Linked DNA regions of Mytilus edulis. The protein of the gene in region 2 purifies or fractionates together with the protein of the main gene of each other region. This does not show direct contact. Links are inferred from orthologs where the notes say so. Each region holds a gene or a part of one and is shown on either strand. Other genes may lie near its edges.

Region 1 (8,963 bases), on a different chromosome or scaffold from region 2:
TTCAATTTGCCAATATTTTACGAAAAGATTAGACTGTGCAACTTATGTGGGTTTTTGAATTCACATGTATTCTGGATGGAATATTTCAACAGTACAACCATATAGATATCAATTAACAAATTTATATAAAGCCTATAAAATGACACATAAAATCATCCGTCTAAGGGTGGTCCTAAGTAAACCATAGAAATTTCTGTATTTCCATAAACTGCAGATACTGAGGGGTATAATGGTGTGTCAGGCAGTCCACGGAAAGCTACACCTGGAAAAAAAATCAGTTGATACAATGTAACATTATAAACACATGTATAATAATTTACTATTTAAAAAGTAAAGATATGGGTGGGATTTGAATAAAAAAGTTAGGTTGTTTTGTTTTTAAAACAATAAAGGCACAGTTTCTAGTATGAATTCATATTTCCTTAAAAAAAATCTGTTGTTTTTGTAGGTGACACTTTACAATAAATACCAAACACCAAATAACTCGTACACATTTCTTCCAGCGGTCAGATGCATTCTCATTTCAACTAAAGAAGCCATAAGAAGAATTCTTAAATACATCCCCTACTCCTCCCATCGGTTTAAAGTAATTGACTGTTAATGTCAAATGCAACTATCAATACTTTTTACTTATTAGGGTTCTCTAAATTAATGAAACATTGAAATCAAGCCATGAATGTGTCTATTTCTTGGAAAACATGTTGAAGGTTAAGCATTTCAGTTTTTCATGTATATGAATGTTACAAAATGTGTCCATTCTTAATCATGACATTTACCATCTCTTACAGGTTTTACAGCTTGTAGCTTTAGTTAGCAACACATTAAGATAATTAACAAGATGAAGCGCTGACTTACTACACTACCACAGTGGCACTATAGGTACTTGCTATTTAGGTTAAGACACAATACTGAGTATAACATGCTCCCATGATGCTCAATGTGAGGAAGCTCTGATTTGTAGTTTCTGATAAACGCTTAAAAATGTATTGGGGAAGACAAATGTACATGATGTATATAGCAATATACAATATACCCCAACATCCTAGAGTGAACTTAATGCGCTTGCATTGTTAAAGTTATGTTTAAAATTAGATTGATTAAGCAAGCGATGATAAACTAAAAATTACCTAAAAATTCATAATTCTTTTCAAACGCTAATGTATTATCTTCACAATCAAGTATTACTCTTATTCTTTCTCCAACCTAAAATAAACAAATATTTAAATAAAACAATTTAATAAAAACAAACTTGAATTTATAGCAAGTTCAGTCAAACTCTGAAAAGTACATATAAATATGTATCCATCTATAGTAACAATATTTATATCTTTGGTTAAAAAATGTATGAAGGTACTGCCTTTTTCTAGCATGTCTAGGTAAATTAATTAGACACTGTATCAAATATCCCATTTTTTAAATGCAATTTTGTTAAAATTTACATTATTACATTCATGACATTGTGGCCACATTTCTTCAAATTGTCCTAAAAAATATCATCATTGTTTACATGCTTATTGTTAAAGACCATACAGTGACCCATGGTTGTTAATATAAGTGTCATTTGGTCTCTTGTGAAGTTTTGTGTCATTGGCAATCATATTACATTTTTATGCTAAACGTTCAAAATAAGGAATAGTTATGGCATAAAAGTAATGAGTTCATCCTTCATATTTTTTTGGCAATTTAAACCTTTTTAGTTTATATGTTATACATGTGGCCTGGGATAAAAAAAATCCACAATTTTAGTATATCCTGTCTTTCAGTTGTTGACTAAAACAACTTTTGTTGAGTGCCTTTTTGCAAATCCATGAACATTTTCTTTTTTATCTTGATGTCAATTTCGCATTTCCCATTTTTGAAAATCATACACAGACTAAAATTTAGTACACTATTCCTATCCAACAGTACATGTCTAATATTTATTAGAATGCTCATGGGCCAGAATGTGCATATTTTCATCTGTGTATGTAATATAAAAAGTAGTTTTAATAATTTGAGTAATGAGGAAATTTTTTTTTATGTTTCATGATGACAGAGTTTGTTATTTTAGTCAAAATCTGCCATGAAGTACCTTTTAAGAGAAAGTGTACTTTATATTTGTAATACATGTAAGTGTATATAATGTTGTTTATTTTTTTGTATAAATAAATTGTTTTCAATAGTATCACGTGGTGTTTCATGCCAAGATATATTGCATGTATTGATAAATGTTATACATGTAGATTTAATATAAATGTATTTTAATGTGTGTTTTTACAGTATCTCATAACTCTTTTTAGAGTGGCTCTTTTATAAATTGATCTGATAGTGATAATAATATATTGTGTTTTATATCAAATGTTTCAAAGAAGTGAGACTCTAATAAATTATTTGTTTGTTTGTTATTTGCTTCAGATTTTTTTTGTTATTTTATACTGTTGTTCAAATACATGCATCTTATTTTTCTTTACAGTGAGTGTACATGTACAAACATGACAAATGTATGCTTCTTACCATCTATATATTTAACTCATCTATGGATACTAGGTTTAAATCCACTCTATTAACTGTATCATATACATTTGTACATTTTGCAGATGATTAATTTTTAACTAATTACCAGTGATAGTAATTGCACACCCTGAATGGCATGTATGTTTATCGTAGATTTGTACATACATACATGTATATTTCGAAAATTACTATTGGTTTTGTCTTGACATTATTTTTTTAGGGGTGGGGTGGTAGTTTAGATCTGCTTTTCATGCTTTTAGGCATGTTACTAAGACATAAAAATGAAACAAATAAAAATTAACTCATTTATACCCTTAAAATACAAAGTTTCATGTTATTCGTTTTATAAAAATCAAGTAAGAAGTACTGACATTGTCAGTTTATTTTCAATTTGTATTTGTGAGTTTGATATTCTTTTTTCCATTTTTCTACATTTTTACCATTTTTACTGAAATGTGTTGCAGTATTTATGTATTTCTATACAATGCCATACTATTTCTTGCCCCGAAAAATAGATTAAACAGTGTTTGTGCTTATAAAACAGTGTCTATTGTCTTGTCATCTATATGTACAGCTGATGTTGAGATGCTCTTTACATGTTAAATATCTTTAAACAAAAGATAATTTTTTTTAACTGGCTGAAATTCTGACGCATAATGGAATGTGTTGCTTGTGTATACATATATAGTAGCCCAGTAGGTAAATGCTATTGCTAATTAATATCACACCTGATAGGTTGGAGCATTATTTAATGTAGGATAATTGCCTTGACTATCGCCATTGTGTATCAGGTGATTGTCAACTAAATTCCATCCCCAGCTCTGATCGTCTCCTCCTAATAAACTGACATATCCTATATTATGTAATGAAGCTTTTTTAGTTGCTAATCCAATCACAGCTACTGTCCCTAAAGGTCCTTCCCACCACACTTCCCAACAATGTCGACCTGTCTTAAAACCTATTTTCCCTCTAGCTCCGTCCGTACTTTGAGCTACTGGATTTCTGTGAACTGTAAATCCGCCAGATTTCACTACAATGTTTTTTGAACAATCATTTAAATTCCAATTATGGAAAAATGCTCGCAGTTTCGCTTTATATGTTGGAACGTTTTTCAAAATGTCAGACTTTAGAACTTGTTCTGTCACTTTTCGTATGCAGTGAAACCGCCATACATCATTATTTTCATCGTTCAAAAACTTATACCATTTCTTACACACTAAGGAACATGTTCTTAAATCAGATATATTTAAATAGGAGAAAATTGATTCTAAAATCTGAGGAGGAAGGTTGGCTGCTGCAGCCATAACGGCGAGACATCCGGTCAATATAGCTACCAAAATGTGAGATACAATAAAATGGACAAATTGGTATTCTGTTTATTAGAATACCGACGATAGAATAAGGATCTGATATCTTTGTAGGTTACAATTATTAATAATTTTGATATTTGGAAATAGTAGCAACTTGTATAGCTACGTAAGGACACATTCATTTGTACGTTGCATTCTTATTTTTAACTTTTAGGTTTCTGATAAAATTTTAGCAATCACGTGTAAATTCATTCAACGAGATTCAAGATGTCTGCGCCCATGTTATGAAGAGAAAAAGTTAAAAATATGTTTAAAAACCAAGAAATATATTCGATACTGAAGAAAAGGTAGACAAAAATGCCACAACTTAACATAAATGTCATAGTTCCCTAAATGAAGGGCTCATGAGACACTGTTAAACGAATTATCATACTTTTTCATAGATAAATAAGATATTTTGCTAAAAAAAAAGGTTTTAAAAGTTTTTCTATTTATACAACTTATAATATCCCTATCCACCAAAAGGACTGGATATCTCAGATATTCCTGTTAAATTTTGACATCATAACAATTAATTGATTATTGAATGAAATCAATATTTCCAAGGGCCAGTGATGTCACTAAGTTTTGAAGAAGCAGGCTGAATTCCTAAAATAGGCGGCAAGTACATGCGGACGGCGAAGCCAATTCGCGTCGACGAGCTTGCTCGTCGCTACTACGGCGGGGGGTCTGGGGCCCGCTTAAGGGCCCCAGGATTTTTTTTTAAAATGGTGCAAAATCCTGCATTCTGGGGGTGTCCTAGACCCTTATTCAGACCTCTGAAAACATTATTTTTTACTGAAGATAATGTAAATGATTAACTAAAATTAGCAACATGATGGGAAAATTTTCTGTACATGACGTGATCACATCATTGATCATCTTGATGGACCAATATACATTTTTGTGCATTTTCCTGCAGGTTGACTGCTAGTAAATATTTTTGAACTGAAAGAATCCAAAAATCTTAGTTTGAATAGAAACATATTGTCTCTGGTTTGAATTGTCACTTGAATAATTTAGTTTTAAATGAAAATTGTAATTGTGACATTGAGAACATTGTTTTAATTTTATATTAAAAAAGTGTTGGTTTTGTTTTTACAAAATTAAAAAACAATATTCACTGACTAGTAGTCAGCTGGAGCTTCGATTTCAAAGTTAAAACTGTTACAGAGGTGCTATATTTTATAAAATCGTATGCTATCCCAAGGACGTATAACTGGGTCAGGATCCCTAATAGACCTTGAGATGAGGAACTCAGATGACGTAATTAAAAAAAATATTAGTCCGCCATACAATTGTGGATGCTGTGATTTTAAAAATGGACATAAATGAACAATAAGAACTGTTTTATAGAGCTGGTGTGATGAGAAAAGAAAGATGTAGATTTGACCTGAAATAAATTATTAGAAAGGACAATTTTTTTATTGAATTTTATGATCAGAATTTTGGGATTATTTCATGAGGAGAGTGACATTTTTCACCATCTTCCGGGGTCCATCAATTTGCGAAAAAAGTAATCTCACTTGCCACCCCGAAAATTTAACCATACATGTATAAATGTATCAGCTTCGATATGAGCCATCATACATGTTCAAGTAAACGATATGGACTGAGCAACGGAGGAAAACGTTACCATTACGGCCTATGGAGAATTAATTGTAAATGTATACCCAAATTAGAAGCTTAATTCCAGAAGTTTTCAGGCTGATTTATGGATGATTTCACCTTGTACACCACCGAAAATGATGGTTAGTAGTTTTTTATTTATACCTAGTTATTATAAATGGTTTAAGATAAATATTATTGATAAAGATCAGCAAAAACTCAATGAAACTTTGCTTTTAAAATGCATTACTGGCACGGGGCTGAACACTTTTTTTAGGCACAATCATAACTTTGTTTACTTCCGAGAGATCCGAAAGGAATTTGTTTACTATATTGAAAAAGGCAAGAAACAACTTTTAAATATTATTAAATTGTAAGTAAACATGACCCAATATAGTCTTTGTTATGTAATTATCACTTCGGTCTACAGGAATACCTGATAATCAAGGGAGATAACACACTTCATACGAGTAAAGTGAGATACATCATCGCATGTGCTTTTATCCAATGATTTGACCCCTGGTCAGTAGATATCATATGCAAAAAAACAGAAAAAACATGTACATGTAAATATTTTTAATGCACTTGAGCAAAACAATAGATATTGTCATTTCTCAGTGAAAAAGGGGGAGGGTCAAACCTTTTTGAAAACAATATTTCTGCACCTATTCAACTATTAAGCTAGTTAGCTACTACCCATTGCTTCTAAAATAAAAGGTTTAGATGAAGGTGACTAAGCCACAAGGGAGAAGCATTTGTCTTTCTTTGTGATTAAACTTTCAAGAATTAGATTTTTCTCTCTCAATAGTACTTATGTATTTAAATCAAATGATAACACAGCCTGAGTAATTTTTTTGTCTTATTTCAGTTCCAGACATATCATTACTTTTTAACCTGAGATGGCAAACTAGAGGTTTTAAAAAGTCCTGAATAACTGGTAAGCATTTGCTTTATTAGGCAAGCTCTAAATTGTTTATTTATGGTATTTATGCAATTGAAATTACAGTCGGTATGTTAAAAATATGCAAATATGAAAACTGTTGCTATGGTCTTGGTATTAAATGAAAAGGCTTAGTTACAGATCGTTTCGACTCAATATTTCGAGTTAAATCTTGCGGCAACTGTTTCTCACGTAACACTGCAAACTATATTTAGTTCTATTTTAATCTGTCGTTATTTAATGACGCCATAATACATGTGATGTCACAATGTTTCCTTTAAAACCTCATGTGGATTTCTCACTAATAAAAGGTTTTCACTGAAATACATGTTAAAAACATTTTTTCTCAAATAGAATTATGTGAAAGGACAAGTTTTGAAAATTTGCACTATATTGCACTCTAATTATATGATAAGGATGACTTTCCAAGTAGTTAAGAGTGCTTTCCACAGTTTTAAATACCAGATTTCCACTAGTAAGAATAATTATTTTGGTGTTGGTTTTTTTTATAAAATCTTCATTTTTGCATAATTTCTCTGTCAAAATGCACTTTAAGGCACAAGAAAATTTTATAGAATGCTTTAACAGGGTCTGTGTATTGTAATTAAAGGTTATAATCAGAAGTTTTGTCCTTGTTTTGACTAGTGAAGGTATTCTGGAAGAAATTAATTATACAAACACATTGTATTCAAAATAAATGAATATAGCGACGAAAGTGTCATTGCCGTATAGTGCTAAAACAACTTTATTTTTTTTCAGAAATGGACAAAAATACACAGATTTATTCAGAATGTTATACCGATGAAGATCACATAAAAATATTTGGAAAAATCAGAAGTATGAATTTCAATATGGGTCAGGATCCCTAATAGACCTTGAGATGAGGAACTCAGATGACGTAATTAAAAAAAATATTAGTCCGCCATACAATTGTGGATGCTGTGATTTTAAAAATGGACATAAATGAACAATAAGAACTGTTTTATAGAGCTGGTGTGATGAGAAAAGAAAGATGTAGATTTGACCTGAAATAAATTATTAGAAAGGACAATTTTTTTATTGAATTTTATGATCAGAATTTTGGGATTATTTCATGAGGAGAGTGACATTTTTCACCATCTTCCGGGGTCCATCAATTTGCGAAAAAAGTAATCTCACTTGCCACCCCGAAAATTTAACCATACATGTATAAATGTATCAGCTTCGATATGAGCCATCATACATGTTCAAGTAAACGATATGGACTGAGCAACGGAGGAAAACGTTACCATTACGGCCTATGGAGAATTAATTGTAAATGTATACCCAACTAACATAATATACGTCCTTGGCTATCCCCAAAAAGATTTGAAAATTTAGACTAAAATTCCTGCATTCTGAGCATACATTTTGTACCTGAGAGTGATTTAGATGCTTGGGAAAATGTTAATTTTGTCTTATTTTTGTTGTTGACTTCAATCACATTGATTTTTTTTTTAAATGAGAATCCGTAGTCCTGGCAAGGCTAATCTATATTATATTTTTTTCTGGGAAGGTGTCTTTTGTAAGACAACTAAGGAAGTCTGTTCTTGAATATATGTAAATAATACACAGGCACTTTACACAGGCAAGTGCCTGTGAAATAATAGGTGAAATATTATAATTTTATTTCAAAAATAATCGAATTTATTAAATATCTTGATCGATTTATTTGCGTACGTACTTAGTGACAAATGACCCCCTTTTTTCTCATATAAGACTTGTACACGTATTTCAAACATGTTGTCAAGCTATGTCGTTTTATTTTCTCTTATTTGTTAACTGTTCAGTAATCAGTAAACTAAAATCCTTTTGAACTATAAAAGATATTTTTAAAAATTATTTGTGGTCGACAATATTCTACTTTCGTTATTGACCTTCATTCTCTAGACACCACGTGGTCGTGGGCTTTGAAATGTGAACTTCAAAAGGTGCTGTTTTCCAGATTCTTGACAACATTATATATATTATACTTTCTTTTATTTGACTGATATATTAATTTCCATAACATGCTATATTGTCATCTTTGGCTTATTCCTTCTCTTGAAGCAAAAACCAAACAGGGTCATAATGTCCATCGGAACGTCTCTCTTTTTATCCTTGCAAACATTACAATACTTACCGACTTTAAATAGACGACCAATCAGCGGACTGCATTTACGTGAACTATATTTAGTCAAAGGTAAACACTGATTTACATCCTTGTTTATCGCGACTTTAATCGTGGAAGCTGATGCATTGAACAATTATTTTTTAATATTAACCTGATTATCTTTTTTATCTTATTAATTTTTTTTACTCATGCAAAAATAGCCGGCGGGAAAAGGACAATAACCGGCGAAAATCGCCGGCTGCCGGCTTCTAACGACATCACTGAGGGCACACAGGTTTATCGGTCACAATAATACTGGTTATATGAGGCAGGCATTACCTGTAAATGGCGACGAAGTCTGTATATTATTATTTTTTTGTAACTTAATATATGTTAAAAGAAAAGAAACGGAAATACCGTAACGTTTCCGATTTTGGTTCTGTTGTTAGGGATTTTAGTTGTG
Region 2 (8,597 bases):
AAATAATTATGTCATACAGAAACAAACTACTAAATAACAGACTGCAAACCTTGGAAATGTAGCGGGGGCCAACACTTGCCAAACCCAAGACAGTGGTGTAAGAAGCCTTTTCTACAACAGTATGTATGTTAACTAGTCTGAATTTTTTGTGAGACAATCTATTTCAGCAACAATGTTTATTTGAAATTTTTCAGAGGATAAGTAGTTAGTGAGCTTAATCTGTTAAGCTACAATAACTGTGACAGTTTGAGGAAATAGTTGTACTGAAGTGTAATTGATGAAGACTTGCAAACTTTGCTCAATTGGATTTGTGTTTCATTTGCACCATAATTAATTTGTCCCAATGTTACATTCAAGCAAATAATCTCTCCAGATTGCATTTTTGGTATTAGCTACACCAAAAATAAAATCATCTGTTTGAGCAATATACACGTACTTACACTATACAAGGAGGAATGTGGTTGGATTAAACATGTATATGAGCACTCAACCCTTCCGAAAACCTGGTACAGTAATGTAAACCTGCCACTGGAGAACAGTAGTTAGTGGTTCTATCTGAGAAACTTACCTTAGATTTTTTTTCTTTAGATTTTGATTTTGATCTCTTCTTTGCCTTCTTCTTTTCTTGTTTCTTTCTGATAAAAAAATTATTGAAAGTAAATGAGAAGATTATTAGTAAATAAGATTTTATTGTATTGCTTGTATTGTTAGTTTCAATATATAATATATGCAGTTCAAGCAGGACAGATTCACTTGGGACAAATTTCCAAAAAGCTATCACAATCCTTTAGAAGCAAAAAAATTGCTGTAAATTTGTATCTTATAACCAACAAATTAAAAATGTGTCCATGGGACACAAAAGATGCCCCCGCTTGCATATAAGATTATAACGAGACATAATTCAATAATGGTAAAAGTGACGCTTCCCAATTTTGTACTTAATCTGTGTTTTGAGTTAAGATCAAGTGTGTACATGTATATGATTATAACATATACTTGAGGCAAATCCGAGTAAGAGAATGGGTACAAAAACAATTTAGCTCTTTTTTCATTTGTAAATGGGCATAACCCAGTTCTAGAAATCTATGAATTTTGTAACGTTAACGAATTTTGTAACAGTTACCAACTATATTAACTAAATTATCAACAAATTCTTTAACTTCTGTGTTTATTTCATTTTTGCTTTAAAAGATACATATAAAAATTATATGGATTTTGGATCATTTGCGTTTTCATCAACCCCTGCATAGATTTTAATTTTATCAGGCAGAACTCTAGAAATTTGTCCATAGTTCCGTCTGAAATTGTTCCCAGCATGCCATTTTTTATTTATAAATGCCAAAAACCAAATAAACACTGAAGTTAACAACTTTGTTAAAGGTTCAGTTAATTAATTTGGAAACTGTTACCAATTTTGTTAATGTTACCGAATTCAGAGATTTCCAGAACTGAACTCTAGACATGCTAGAATCATGTCTCATGGTAAAAGTGATGTTACCCAAATTCAAACGTGATCAATGTTTTGTGGTAATCAGCTTTTACCATTGTGTATAAATTTCATAACATTTTGTTGATGTGAACTTTAGTTAGAAACGGAAACCAATTTTGGGACACAAGTACAGAGTACAGACAGACGAGGGTAAAACTTGATGGCCCTCTGATACGGATGGGTCATAAAAAGTACGAGGACAGGGCTTTCCATTGAAGCCGGTAGCAGGCGGAAATCCGCCGTTTACAGTGGCTTCAAGTGCCGGCTTCTTCACTGACAAAAATATAAATTCAAAAAGAAAAAAAAAATCTTTTTCAAATGTTTACAGGCAGCCGAGAGACGTATTTCCGCAAAGTCGCGGTCACGATAAACAAGGATGAAAAGTCAGTGTTTACCTTGGGCTAAATATAGTTCACATGAATTCAGGTCACTGATTGGTTGTCTATTTAAAGTCAGAATGCATCGTTTCTTTTCAAAGATAACAAGAGAGACGTTCCGGTGGTCATTGAAGGATAACAATAGAGACGTTCCGATGGTCATTAACTCGTTTGCTTTTTTTTACTTTAAAAACATGAAGACAATCAAATAGGATGACAATCTTATGTTATGGAATAATATCAGTCAAATTAAAGAAAGTGTAGTAGATCATATTGTTCAGAATCTGGAAAACAGTATCTTTTGAAATTCATTTTTCAAAGTCCACGTGGTGTTCAGAGAATCAAGGTCAAAAACGAAAGTAGAATATTGTGGCCTCGACCTCAAATAAATAACATTTTCAAATGATTTATGTATCCGACTTATTGAACAGTTTACAAAAAAAGAGAAAATCAGAGGATATATCAATTTTCTGTCAATGCTTGAGAAATAATTGTATGATTTAGTTACGCGTAACAGTCTTTAGAGAGAAAGGGGGGTCATTTGTTTACAAATGCACGTAGTTCTGCAAAATAAATCGATCAAGATTTTTAACAAACCGTATTATTATATAAATAAATCTCCTTTAAAAGTAAATGAATTTTAAGCATAAGGTAATGAAAATAAAAAACTATAACATAAAAATAAATGAAATTTCTTTGAGATTTTTTTTTCCTTCTTTAATTTCATACATAAAAAATGGTCATTTGAAAGATGAAATTAGGTGCCAGGAGATTGCGAGAATGCAGGATTTTGCTCTATTTATGCCAGAGCTTCTGGGGCCTTGAGCGGCCCCCAGACCCCCCTGCCGTAAGGCACCAAGCTGTAGGTGGGCAATGCTGCGCAGAACGCATGTTACAGCCGCCTATAATTTTAATTGAGCCTTCTACTTCAGTTTCAATGGAAAGCCCTGTGAGGATATTATGGGGACGAAGTCCCCAATAACAGTAGAAAATTCAATAAAAAAAAAATTCGGGAAAATTTCTCATTGTAGTAATGAACTCAAAATTGTTCAATTTTTTTTTGTCATGTTTTGAAATCCCGGACCTGTACAGAAATGTACAATGTACTTCCTTTTTCCGGTCTCGTTTGTATGAAACTTTGAGTAAAATATATATTTATCAGTCTAGTATAAAATAGGAAGGAACGTGCAATACCAATTTCATTTATAATAATTCTTTGATATGAAAAAACGTTACCTGATGATAGCGTTTACATTGCACATGACGTCATAATTTAAATAACGTCACAACTAAAATCCCTTACAACAGAACCAAAATCGGAAACGTTACGGTATTTTCGTTTCTTTTTTTAAACAAATATTTAAGTTACAAAAAAATAATTCATATAGACTTCGTCCCCATTTACAGGTAATGCCTGCCTCATATTAAAGCAAAATAAAAGATCAAGATTCAACAAACACCAGATACAAACAGATCATTCTTTAACCTGCGTTAAACCCATTTTTTAATCAATTGAGTTATTTACTTATTGTCAGCCTGAGAAATGTGATATGCATCAAACAAGTCATGAAATTTCGTCCTCAATTCATTTCCCTTCAGGTAAATGTCCAATTCGCTCCTAGACGAAGGCAACACCTTCGCACTCATCTTTTCTGTAGTTCGCTGCTACTGACGAGTTTGAGGATTAAGCAACAGTTGTAATTCGAAAAAGCTTTTAAAAATCAACTTTCGATTTTCTTCCATTTTCATTTTCCATTTGGTTTAATTTGGTGAAGACAAATTGCACAATAATCTTGTAGCAGCAAGAATAAACGAATAAAATACTGTATTCCTAAAACTTGTTATATCTTGTCGGTAACTAATTTAAATATACATAAATTCAATTTTTTATTTATTTTTATTCATTTGTTAAGCAGATTTTAAAATTTTATACCCCCAAAAATATTGTTTTTTGGTCATCTATAAATTCGTTTTTTAGGGAAATTGTATAAATGCTATTAAAAATAGAACTATGCCGGAGAATACAAGAACTCGTTCCGACTAGAAAAAAACCCTTATAAATCGTCTTTTTTCACTGTTTATAGAATATATTTGTACATAATTATAATCAACAGTTATGGGTTTTTTTATCCTCGATAACTATTTTTCAAGAGTCACCTATTTGACCAACACCACTGTTTACTTATTACCTATTCTGTACTTTCCGCCTGTTTTAGGAGCTCCGCCAATCATGCAGTAAGATTCGAAGTCAAACACAGTCACACCTCAACAACATGTTTTGGGTATTTTAAAATAAACAACTTGAATTTTATGTACAGGATGTATGTATGATATAGTACTGTACGACACAAATATACAACCAAATCAAGTAAAGCCAATACGAGGAAAGATTTTCTTTTGGAAAAAAGCTAACATGAAAGCAATTAAAATTTCTCTTAAGAACTTTGGTGAACAATTCTGTCAATCAAGGACCAGACAGTGGAGGCCATTTGGAAGACAATTAAAACAATCCTATCCTGTAACATCTTATCGAAAATCATGTACCAACAAAACAAACAACGAACAGACACACACATCCATGGGTAGAAACACCCAGATAAGAAGAGCAATGAGAAGAAAACAAAGAGCTCACTCCAAAGCTAAACGTGCTAATAACCCAATCGACTGGAAAAAGTACAAAAGACTAAAAGCAAACACCCAAAAGGAGACAAGAAAAGCTCATAGAAACTACACCCAAGATGTTGTCAGCAATGACTTCAGAGAAAATCCTAAGCGCTTCTACACATATGTAAAAAGTAAGAAACAAGAGTCATCAGGTGTTTCTGCCTTACCAACAAAGACGGATTTTTTACATAGTGAAAGCTCTCAAAAGGCTGAAACTTTAAACGACCAATTTCAATCGGTCTATACTAAAGAAGACATGACTAGTATACCAAACAAAGGCCCAAGCCGTTATCCCACCATGGGTAAAATCAACCGCTAAACAAAAATGGAGTATACAAGCTGTTAAAGAACCTTATACAACACAAAGCAACATGACCAGGAAACATTTCAGCACTAATACTTAAAAATGCAGCAAATGAGATGGCTCCCATCCTTTCCCGTCTTTACCAAACCACCATTGACAACGGTGAAATACCAAACGGCTTGACAGAAGAAACACTAGTTAGTCCAACTATTAAAAAAAAAGAGAAAATCATATAGCAGTAAATTATCGACCAGTTTCGCTATTTTCTATTTCATGCAAAGTTCTCGAACATATCATCCACAGTTCAGTCATCACATTTTTGGAAAAACATCACATCTTGACAGACAGTCAGCCTGGATTCAAAGCTCGTATAGATCCTGTGAGACACAACTAATTTCAACAATAGAAGGAATTGCCAAACAACTGAAATCAGGGAAAGATCAAGTGGATGTAATCTTACTCGATCCGGCCACGTCCACTTGTATTTTTGTCCATCTGATGAGTTAAGCCTTTTTCAACTGATTTTTATAGTTCGTTTTTATGTTGTACTGTTATACCACTGTCCCAGGTTAGGGAGAGGGTTGGGATCCCGCTAACATGTTTAACCCCGCCACATTATTTATGTATGTGCCTATCCCAAGTCAGGAGCCTGTAATTCAGTGGTTGTCGTTTGTTTATGTGTTACATATTTGTTTTTCGTCTGCTTTTTTTTTTATATATAAATAATTAAGGCCGTTAGTTTTCTCGTTTGAATTATTTTACATTTAATTGTCTTATCGGGGCCTTTTATAGCTGACTATGCGATATGAGCTTTGCTCATTGTTGAAGGCCGTACGGTGACCTATAGTTGTTAATGTCTGTGTCATTTTGGTCTCTTGTGGCGGACAGTTGTCTCATTGGCAATTATACCACATTTTCTTTTTTATATTTGCTAATGCTTTTGACAAAGTCCCACACTGCAGATTACTCAACAAACTGAACCACTATGGCATTAGAGACGAAAACCTGAAATGGATACAATATTCTTTCTAAGAAAACAGGAAAAAACAAGTGGTAGTTGAGGGCTGTAAGTAAACACTGGGAGACGTACTTTCAGGTGTCCCACAAGGGACTGTGTTAGGTTCCTTACTCTTCTTAGTAGTTATTAACAAATTCCCAGTACGAAGCCAAACTAAAACAGGATCTTTCAGCACTAGAAGACTGGGAAACCAAATGGCAGATGAAATTCCACCCAGAAAAACTCACCTTCATCCGCATTAGCACCAACAGTAAATCCCCAAAAGAGACATACTATAAATTATATGACCACACTCTCGAAACTGTACCAACCAGCAAATATCTAGGAGTAAATTTCAGTGAGGACCTACAATGGAAACATCATGTTGACGTCACTGCCAAAAAAGCATCCAAATCCCTCGGATTCCTTAGGCGCAACCGTCGAGAATGCAGCAAGAATATACGAAATGCAGCCTATATCTCTCTGGTCAGACCAACACTAGAATATGCAAGTGCGGCATGGGACTCTCATACCACCGAGGACATAAACCGCTTAGAACAAGTGCAAAGGATGGCCGCCAGGTTTGTAACAAACAACTACACCGATAAAACACCTGGATGTGTGACAACTATGGTCAAGAAACTAGGATGGGAACCACTAGCTAACAGACGAAGTAACCATCGACTCGTAATGCTTTAGTTTAGTTTAGTTTAAACATATTTATTTATACAGGATTGGGAAACAAGTTTTGCAACTTATATTAATCCCTTTCCACTTTGCGGGTGCGAGTGCTGCCTTGTAGCGGCATTAGCCTGCTCTTTTTCGAAATCTACAAGGGTGTCTTTAATGTGAAAGAGATATGGCTCTCTCTTAACACGGGTCAGCCATTTATCGTCCCCTTCCGACGGACTATCATCGTTTCTTCTTCTTCTTCCAGGTAAGGAACCGGATTCAATACTGAATGTTCATGGTTCCGAGCGAAAACTTTACGCAGTGTCGGGCAACACAGAAAGCTTTCTCTTGGCTATTTACAAATACATTTAAAACGTTCGCAAAAATATACAATTAAAATTATTTACAACTGGGTTTTCCTACTTCCTTTCAGAGCATGCCTTCAGGGCAGCTCTGAATCCCTCAACGGTGTTGGTCGCTGTAACTGTTGTTGGTAGGTTGTTCCAGTCCCTGATTGTCCTCGGGAAGAAAGATTGGCCGTAAGTGTCTGTACTTGTTCTTTCTTGGAAAAAGCGGTTTTTACCTTTGGTCCGGTTATCATTCGGTGTCAAATATTGGTGACGGTCTATATCTATAAGATCATGCTGGATCTTAAATAGCATGCATAATCTATTTGTTTTCCTCCGTTCTTCGAAACTTTCCCATTTAAGATTTTTAACCATATTTGTGACACAGCCAGGTGTTCGGTCTGTGTAGTTGTTATTCACAAATCGTGCAGCTCTTTTCTGTACCTGTTCAATTGCCTTGATTTTATTTTGGGTTGTTGGGTCCCATATTGTGCTTGCGTATTCCACTGCAGGTCTTACCATGGATACATACGCAGCTGCCTTTACATGTTTTGTACAGCCTTTGAGGTTTCTACGTATAAATCACAACGTTCTGTTTCCTTTGCCTACTGTATTGTCTATGTGTTTATCCCAGGTTAGGTTGTTGCTGATGGTTACTCCAAGATATTTACTTGCTTCCTCTGTGTCTAGAGTATGACCGTGTAGCTGGTACGATGTTTGTATCACTGGTCTATTTTTTGGGGATATTCTGATGACAAGGCATTTTTTGGCATTAAAACTCATCTGCCATTTGTTTTCCCAGTCTTCCAATGCTGTTAAGTCCTTTTGAAGTAGTTCACTGTCAGCTTGGTTGGTGATGGTACGAAAGAGAAGGCTGTCATCCGCGAACAATTTGGTCTCTGATGTAGATGCTGTTTCTGGCATGTCGTTTATGTAGGCCAGGAACAGTAATGGACCAAGGACTGTGCCTTGGGGTACACCAGAGAGTACTGGTACTTGTGAGGAGACAGCACCCACCCTCTAATATCACGCTCTGCTTTCTGTTATGTAAGGAAGGAGCGAATCCATTTATTGGTTTTGGGGTTGACGCAATAGTATTCCAGCTTGTGTAGGAGGCGGTGATGTGGTACCTTGTCAAATGCGTTTGCAAAGTCTAGCAGGATGATGTCTACTTGGCCGCTGCTTTTTAATTTTGATGCAATGTCGTTGATGGTTACGATTAGTTGGGATTCGCATGATCGTCTTTTGCGGAATCCGTGTTGTGCATCAGTTAGTATTTTATTTTTGTCAAAGTGGTCCATGATGTTGCTATGTACAATATGTTCTAAGACCTTACACGTGATGGAAGTTAGAGATACTGGTCTGTAGTTAGATGCTAGGTGCCTTTCGTCTTTTTTAAAAAGTGGAACTACATAGGCATCTCTCCAATCTTGCGGGACTTCACCAGTGTTCAATGATGTTTGGTATAGGTCTGTGAGTATCGGAGCAAGTTGTTCTGCTGCTGTTTTCAGTATAAAGGCTGGTATTGAGTCGGGACCAGTAGCTTTATGCGGTTTCAGGTTTTTTAACAATTTGTGGACTCCGTTGGTACTAATTTTTATGTCCTTCATGGTGTAGTATGGACTTTTTCCTTTATCTGGAAAGTTATTTAGGTTTTCTTTGGTAAATACTGACTGGAATTGGTCGTTTAAAATGTCAGCTTTGCTCTTGTTGTCACTTTGCAGAAATCCCATTTTGTTTTTTAACG

The links. The genes of interacting proteins can lie anywhere in the genome.
Region 1: the proteins of E3 ubiquitin-protein ligase MYCBP2-like (region 2) and F-box/SPRY domain-containing protein 1-like purify together in Caenorhabditis elegans (affinity purification with western blotting; 3 studies listed by BioGRID). This does not show direct contact. The link is inferred for Mytilus edulis from reciprocal best matches to the Caenorhabditis elegans genes rpm-1 and fsn-1.

The regions. Positions count from the first base shown.
Region 1 is NC_092346.1:53,776,019-53,784,981, reverse strand, and holds the start of F-box/SPRY domain-containing protein 1-like, read right to left. Parts: upstream 3,836-8,963; 5' UTR 3,798-3,835; coding exon 3,222-3,797; intron 1,204-3,221; coding exon 1,128-1,203; intron 263-1,127; coding exon 153-262; 3' UTR 1-152. UniProt on the Caenorhabditis elegans protein: Component of a SCF (SKP1-CUL1-F-box protein) E3 ubiquitin ligase complex which is required for the restriction and/or maturation of synapses in GABAergic neuromuscular junction (NMJ) presynaptic neurons.
Region 2 is NC_092351.1:37,259,954-37,268,550, forward strand, and holds the start of E3 ubiquitin-protein ligase MYCBP2-like, read right to left. Parts: upstream 3,656-8,597; 5' UTR 3,514-3,655; coding exon 3,392-3,513; intron 636-3,391; coding exon 569-635; intron 1-568. Other genes in the region: uncharacterized protein, read right to left, coding at 6,923-7,372.